Linked DNA regions of Saccharomyces cerevisiae S288C. Changing the gene in region 1 together with any one later gene gives a genetic interaction. Each region holds a gene or a part of one and is shown on either strand. Other genes may lie near its edges.

What was found. A genetic interaction does not mean that the proteins touch.
Region 2: mutations in HXT5 (region 1) and MGL2 together harm fitness more than expected from each alone (negative genetic interaction), as found in Saccharomyces cerevisiae (2 studies listed by BioGRID).

What each region holds. Positions count from the first base shown.
Region 1 is NC_001140.6:294,126-298,356, reverse strand, and holds HXT5 (hexose transporter HXT5), read left to right. Parts: upstream 1-1,909; coding exon 1,910-3,688; downstream 3,689-4,231. Other genes in the region: PAL2 (Pal2p), read left to right, coding at 1-972.
Region 2 is NC_001145.3:685,735-689,373, forward strand, and holds MGL2 (putative carboxylic ester hydrolase), read left to right. Parts: upstream 1-1,781; coding exon 1,782-3,131; downstream 3,132-3,639. Other genes in the region: ERG12 (mevalonate kinase), read left to right, coding at 1-64; YMR209C (uncharacterized protein), read right to left, coding at 177-1,550; DML1 (Dml1p), read left to right, coding at 3,349-3,639. UniProt on the Saccharomyces cerevisiae protein: Converts monoacylglycerides (MAG) to free fatty acids and glycerol. Has a preference for palmitoyl-MAG. Does not play a significant role in ethyl ester biosynthesis. Also possesses ester hydrolase and low but persistent TAG lipase activity.

The sequences.
Region 1 (4,231 bases):
CCATTTTTAAATGAAGATGACACTAGGAGGGCCCATAACAGTAGCGTTTCCAATTCTAGACAAGAAAGACTCCCATCATATGAAGAAGCTGCGGGGACACCGAAACAGCAAGCTCCATACCCAAAAGAAAAGAAACGCAGTAGTGGTTCAAATAGTCACCAACACAACCACCACCACCATCGTCGTACATCACACGGACATAGGGACAAAGATAAGCAGAAGAGCAAAAGCAGAACCAAGGTTAAGCCCCCTAAAAATGTAGACACTATTGACAAGATGGATGTTACAGGATTATTTGGCGGATCTTTCCATCATGACGGCCCCTTTGATGCATGCACTCCACAGAGAAATAAGAATAATAAAGTGGCGCCTGTACTGGCCTTCCCAGCAGATGGTCCAAATAATACAGTAGGCGGCCGCACAAGTAAGAAGTCTACCTTAGATGAGGTGTTTGGTAGGGAAACAGTAGACGACGATTCTGAGACGCTGAACCAACTACAAGATAGAGCATATTTATTCAATAAGGCCAATTCCAGTACTACGACTTTGGATGCGATTAAACCGAATTCAAAAAATATTACCCAGTTCGATTCCAAAATGAAAACTGAACTAGTCCATGGGCCCATTACGATGGGTCTAGGCTCAACGACGTTCCTGGATGGCGCACCAGCGTCTTCCGCTGCCATAGAGCAAGATGTTATCAACCACGCACAAGAATCTCGTAGGAAAAACAGCATAGCAAGAAAAAAGTCTCTCCCCTCAAGAAGACATCTACAAGTGAACAACAACAATTTAAAGCTAGTGAAAACACATAGTGGACACTTGGAGCAAAAGGACGTAGACGATAATAGAACTTCTGTTCCGGTCACTGCCACCCAAGGAAGCGGTCACGAAGATGTTGTTAAAAAGGAAAACACCGGCAACAAGCTATTAAGGAGGGTGAAAAGCTTGAAAACTAGTAAAAAGCACTGATCAATGCTTCTTTCTTGCGTTCTTTTTGTTGCGCCCATATATTATTTTATTTATTACATTCATATAGCAATATTTACCTTATTTTATTGGTTACTTTTCTATACGCAAAATCACTACACTATGTTATGTTAAGGTCTCCGATACGGGAATATACCAATCAATACTTATCACTTCGGATTTTTTATGGGTCTTATCCCCACTGTTCCATTTTCTTGTTTAAGGCATCCCGGAGGATAAACTAAAAAGGTGGCCCATCCCACCCGAAATGAAAGTAATCATCTGCTAGCAAAAAGTAAAGAAATGAGAGCATGCTGTGATGTACTGGTGGACGAAATTGTGACCCATACCCACCGAAGAAACATCCGCATGACGTGTTACTGTTACTTCCCGGATTAAGGGATGCATTCTAACTCTGTGCGCCCTTTTCTCTGCAGTTGATCCGCATTCCCCGTGGCTGTGCACATTAGGGGACAGTAAGTAATTCACTTTCTGATCCCGCACTCATAGCGATGGAATAATATACCGGATTTCACACCTTGTTATTGAGTGAAGTACTGCTTGGTGAAATGATATCTTTATGTTCAATATTAATGGTCGTGTGGATGAATATATGGGCATGGGTTAATTAGTTTTAGGGGCACGGAGTAAACAAGAAAGGAGGGCCAGAATCATTAGTAGAGTACCTCAAGTTTGGTTTCTTTTTGATTTCACGTATAAAAGAGTCTCTCTCTTTTCTTTTCATGCTAGTCGAACGGTTCTCCCTCTAAGAATAAGAAACTATCAAAAGAAAGAGAAAAGTCGATTGAATAATTTTTCTATATATAATATACGCAAACAAGATTCGCTTTCACTTTGCAATTTTACTTCATAGCTTTGTTAAAACCAGCAAAAAATATTATTTTTCTAGAAAAAAGAATATATTAGAGGTAAAGAAAGAATGTCGGAACTTGAAAACGCTCATCAAGGCCCCTTGGAAGGGTCTGCTACTGTGAGCACAAATTCTAACTCATACAACGAGAAGTCAGGAAACTCGACTGCTCCTGGTACCGCCGGTTACAACGATAATTTGGCACAAGCTAAACCCGTCTCAAGTTACATTTCCCATGAAGGCCCTCCCAAAGACGAACTGGAAGAGCTTCAGAAGGAGGTTGACAAACAACTAGAGAAGAAATCGAAGTCGGATTTACTATTTGTATCCGTCTGCTGTTTGATGGTTGCTTTTGGTGGGTTCGTGTTTGGGTGGGATACTGGTACTATATCTGGTTTTGTCAGGCAAACAGACTTCATTAGGCGATTTGGCAGCACCCGTGCAAACGGGACTACCTATCTTTCCGATGTCAGAACCGGTTTGATGGTTTCTATTTTCAACATCGGCTGCGCTATCGGAGGTATAGTTTTGTCAAAGCTCGGTGATATGTATGGACGTAAGATTGGTCTGATGACTGTTGTCGTCATTTACTCAATTGGGATCATCATCCAAATCGCCTCCATTGACAAATGGTATCAATATTTCATTGGAAGAATCATCTCAGGACTGGGCGTTGGTGGTATTACAGTTTTGGCGCCTATGCTAATTTCTGAAGTGTCGCCTAAGCAGTTGCGTGGTACTCTGGTTTCATGTTACCAATTAATGATCACTTTCGGTATCTTTTTGGGATATTGTACTAATTTTGGTACCAAGAATTACTCAAACTCTGTCCAATGGAGGGTACCATTAGGCTTATGCTTTGCATGGTCTATTTTTATGATTGTTGGTATGACGTTCGTTCCTGAATCCCCACGTTATCTGGTAGAAGTGGGAAAAATTGAAGAGGCCAAGCGGTCCTTAGCAAGAGCTAACAAAACCACTGAAGACTCTCCTTTAGTAACTTTAGAAATGGAGAACTATCAGTCTTCTATTGAAGCTGAGAGATTGGCGGGCTCTGCTTCTTGGGGGGAATTGGTTACTGGTAAGCCCCAGATGTTCAGACGTACACTAATGGGTATGATGATTCAATCTTTACAACAGCTGACAGGTGACAATTACTTCTTTTACTATGGTACTACAATTTTCCAGGCTGTTGGTTTGGAAGATTCATTTGAAACTGCTATTGTTTTGGGTGTTGTTAATTTTGTTTCGACTTTTTTCTCGCTATATACCGTCGATCGTTTTGGTCGTCGTAATTGTTTGTTATGGGGCTGTGTAGGTATGATTTGTTGCTATGTCGTCTATGCCTCTGTTGGTGTTACCAGATTATGGCCAAACGGTCAAGATCAACCATCTTCAAAGGGTGCTGGTAACTGTATGATTGTTTTCGCATGTTTCTACATTTTCTGTTTCGCTACCACTTGGGCCCCCGTTGCCTATGTCCTTATCTCTGAGTCGTATCCCTTAAGAGTACGTGGTAAAGCAATGTCGATTGCAAGTGCCTGTAACTGGATTTGGGGGTTCTTGATCAGTTTTTTCACTCCATTTATTACTTCAGCAATCAATTTCTATTATGGCTATGTCTTTATGGGTTGTATGGTGTTCGCATACTTTTATGTGTTCTTCTTTGTTCCAGAGACAAAGGGCTTAACATTAGAAGAAGTCAACGAAATGTATGAAGAAAATGTGCTACCTTGGAAGTCTACCAAATGGATCCCACCATCTAGGAGAACAACAGATTATGACCTAGACGCTACTAGAAATGATCCGAGACCATTTTATAAAAGGATGTTCACTAAAGAAAAATAATCTCTTGTAGTGTAGGATCAACTATTTTCGCATACTTGCAATGTTCAGCATTGCACCATTTCAAATTTTAATATTAATATTAATCGTTTTCGTTCATATGTTCATTCATAGTTTACAAATAATGCAATCATATGCAGAGATATTTTGTCCGTGGTTAATAGGGCTGCCTGTTATTCCTTTAATTCAACTAAATTACGTATGTCTAATAATATCAAAATCATCATGACGTTTTTGTTTTTTTTCTTTATTTTAAGTAGGATCAAACCAGGGGAGAAAGGGTTGCTACGCCTAACAACAAGAACTTGTATATCGTTTCTTGTTACTTATACTTTTCTGCCCACTTCTCTCTTACAACTGCTCGAGCTCATCCTTGGTAATAAAACAGTGAGGACGGTTACTCGAGGTTTCAACAGGGGAAAATAAATTTATATGATGAATCAAGAGCCCCGTTCTTTTACCGTATTATCCTTCATACTACATACTAGGGAAAGAACTGAAAACTCCGCTACCTGCTGTAACAGCGCATAATAAAAAGCAAGAATA
Region 2 (3,639 bases), on another chromosome or scaffold:
CACAAAGCAACAAATTGACGATCTATTATTGCCAGGAAACACGAATTTACCATGGACTTCATAAGCTAATTTGCGATAGGCATTATTTATTAGTTGTTTTTAATCTTAACTGTGTATGAAGTTTTATGTAATAAAGATAGAAAGAGAAACAAAAAAAAATTTTTCGTAGTATCAATTCAGCTTTCGAAGACAGAATGAAATTTAAGCAGACCATAGTATCCTTGATACATTGACTCATAATCAGTTAAATAGCCATTCAATCCCTTTGAGCTATCAACTTCATATTCCTCCACAAGGTCCTTCCACCCGCGAATTTTACGCAGCCGACTTAATTCATCTCCTGTAAATTGGACCAAGGGTTTGGTGCCATACTTTAATGGACCTACATTGACCCAATGCAGCTCTTTACAGTATTTCTTTAGTGCTTCAATACTGGATAGATATTCAAACATATTTTCCGCGGTATCTATGAAATATGCGCTACAAATGATAATTTTATCATAGTCTTTGGAAATGGGAGAATATCGTGTGAAGTCCCCCCATAGTGGGTCCAGATTACTGCGGTGGCCAACTTTGCTCAAATCTGCCGATAAACTTCTCAACTGATTATCAAACACTGTCTGGCATGAATATTGTTGTACAAAAGGACGTATCTTAACGTCATGCTTATATTCGAGTGCAAATAGGTTACATATGTACATCAAGGCTGATAATTCGATGGAGTCCACCTGTATTTTGGGGAAAGTGGTGGCAAGAGTATGGGATAGGCCACCCACACCAGCCCCTGGGGTCACGATAAGAATTTTCTCTTTCATGTCCCCGGCACTAATCACATGATGGTTGATTCTACTAATGATAAAATTTTGTAAAGGATCTCTTTCCACACTATAGTAAGAGCTGAAATCACGACACAAATGTGCTAATGCTTCATGGACCACACTTTGGCTGCCTCGAGACGAAACTATTGGAAATACGAAGTCAGGATTCAATTGAATAAGGTGACCATCTTTAATCTTATAGCCGTGTTCCGCGCATATCTTTTCAATTTCCTCTGTAAATTCTTCATCGTGTTCGTTGGAATGAATCAATTTCCCTAAAGTGAACTCAATTATCTTGTCAATAACTCTTGCGTTTTCTCGGATACCCTCATTATTTTTCATTAATTTGGTGAAGTAGCCTAATTTTTGCAACTGATCTTCTGAAATTCCATTTAATTGTCTTGCTCTCCGAAATAAAAGGCCATTATAGCCTTCTCCTCTTGCTCGATACTCATGTAAACGGATTAAATTCCCCGTAAGATCAGGAAGAGTGGGAATCTGATAATTAATTTTAGAAAGATTCGATTGATCGGCAGATATTGATTTCTCAACATCAACCAATTTTAAGGAGGGCGATAAAACGCTGACTTTTTGGGCCAGATTTGATTTTCTTGATAATAGCTTTTCAACATATGATACAAACCACCTCTGCAACGGCTTATTTTGCCTTAGCAGTGTCATCAGGACTACCACAAGGGCTAGAATTATATTTGATGCCAGTGAGCTAACCATTGGCGCTCCTCAACTTCGTATATCAATATTTTTACCTCTTCTATTTCCTGAAAAATTTGTTAATTGTACAGCATCGTTTACGTTTTTTTTTTTTTACGGGTCTTCTTACCTAACCCCGAAAAGTATTGTGGATCTTAAAAGGGTCTCAATTATTTGAAGTTCGATAAAAACCAACTACTTTGTTATTTTAAAACTGTATTATACAAACGCTGGTAAACTTCCAGAGACGATATGCGTCTAAAAGAATTGTTACCTAATTTTTTGATTGTTCATCAAGAGGTCCCTGAGGATCCTATTGCATTCAAGTCCACCGATAAACGAGAGAATGAAAATAAAGAGATCACCATCCCTGAGCTAATAGATACTAAAGTTCCTGAATTAGCTGACGGTGCTACTGACACTTTATATGGTTTACTGGTCAATGGCCATTTACAAACTGCATATGGTTCCTTTAGACACTTTGACAATATATACAAAGTTCAATATAAAAGAATGATAATCAAATACCCACATGGGGGAGAAGGGACTGTGGATTTTGCTGTAAATGGTAGAAGTACCAAAAGAAGAAAAGTGGAAAAAGAATACGTGCCGACAAGTCAACCGGTATTTAACGGAAACTTGAAACGAAGATATTCGTACTATTCCCCTGATGATCCTAAATTGAACTCAGACGATGCTAAGCCTATGCTTATTATTCTCCATGGATTAACAGGGGGTTCGAGGGAAAGCTACGTGAGGGCAATTGTTCATGAAATCACCACGAAGTATGACTTTGAAGCATGCGTGTTTAATGCTAGAGGATGTTGTTATTCTGCAATTACAACGCCGCTATTATACAACGGTGGTTGGACCAATGATATAAGATATTGTGTTAATGACTTGAGGAAAAGATTTCCGAATAGAAAGTTTTATATGATGGGATTTTCGTTAGGCGCATCTATAATGACAAATTACTTGGGAGAAGAGTCAGATCGTACTAAAATCGAATGTGCTATTTCCGTGAGTAATCCATTTGACCTGTACAACTCTGCATATTTTATTAACAGTACACCAATGGGGTCACGATTTTATTCACCTGCTTTGGGTCACAACTTACTACGCATGGTTCGAAACCATCTCTCTACTCTGGAAGAAAACCCTGATTTCAAAGATGTTATCGAGAAGCATTTAAAAAAGATTCGCACTGTGAGGCAATTTGATAACTTGTTGACAGGCCCAATGTTTGGATATAAAAATGCAGAGGAGTATTACAAGAATGCTTCATCATATAAAAGAATACCCGGGATCAGAACTCCTTTTATAGCTTTGCATGCTCAGGATGACCCAATTGTCGGAGGTGATCTTCCTATAGACCAAATAAAATCCAATCCATACACTTTGCTTCTAGAAACTTCGACGGGGGGGCATGTTGGATGGTTCAAAGACAGATCCGGCAGAAGGTGGTACGCAGAACCCTTATGCAGATTTTTGAAAATATTTCACGACGAAATTACTGTAAAGGGCTTAAAACCTGACTTGGAAAATGTTCAACTCCCAGATCCTAATTGCGAACCCATAGCCACAACCTTTCGCGCGAATTAGTTTGTAAATAAGTCAACTTTTTAGATGTGTAACCTGATAATTTTTTTTTTTGATGTTCGACATCATTATTTCTGAATGAAAACGTGAAAAGCTTCGCCAAACTTAAAATGGAAAATTTCGAATGGAACAAAATATAATCGATGCGATGAATTAAAACCTTGGAAGAAGAGGGTTAATTGTTAAAATTACATATATAATTGGCAGACAAGAATAAAAAATGCATGAAGTAGTAACGATATCGGTTTCGCAGAGAGCAAACCATTTGACTACTCAATTCTTCAATATACAAGAGGGCTATTTACAATTGTCTAAAGAACAACAAGTCAATGACTCCAAAATTTTTCTGAATTCGGTTGTAGATAAAGTTTCAAAAACAATTTCATATGCACCACGTGCCTTACTTTGGGATGCCCGTACAGGTAATGGTTCACTAGGAACATATCAATATTCAGAAAGCCAAGACTATCATTTCGGCAATGAAGACAAATTCAAGGAGCAAACAGTTATA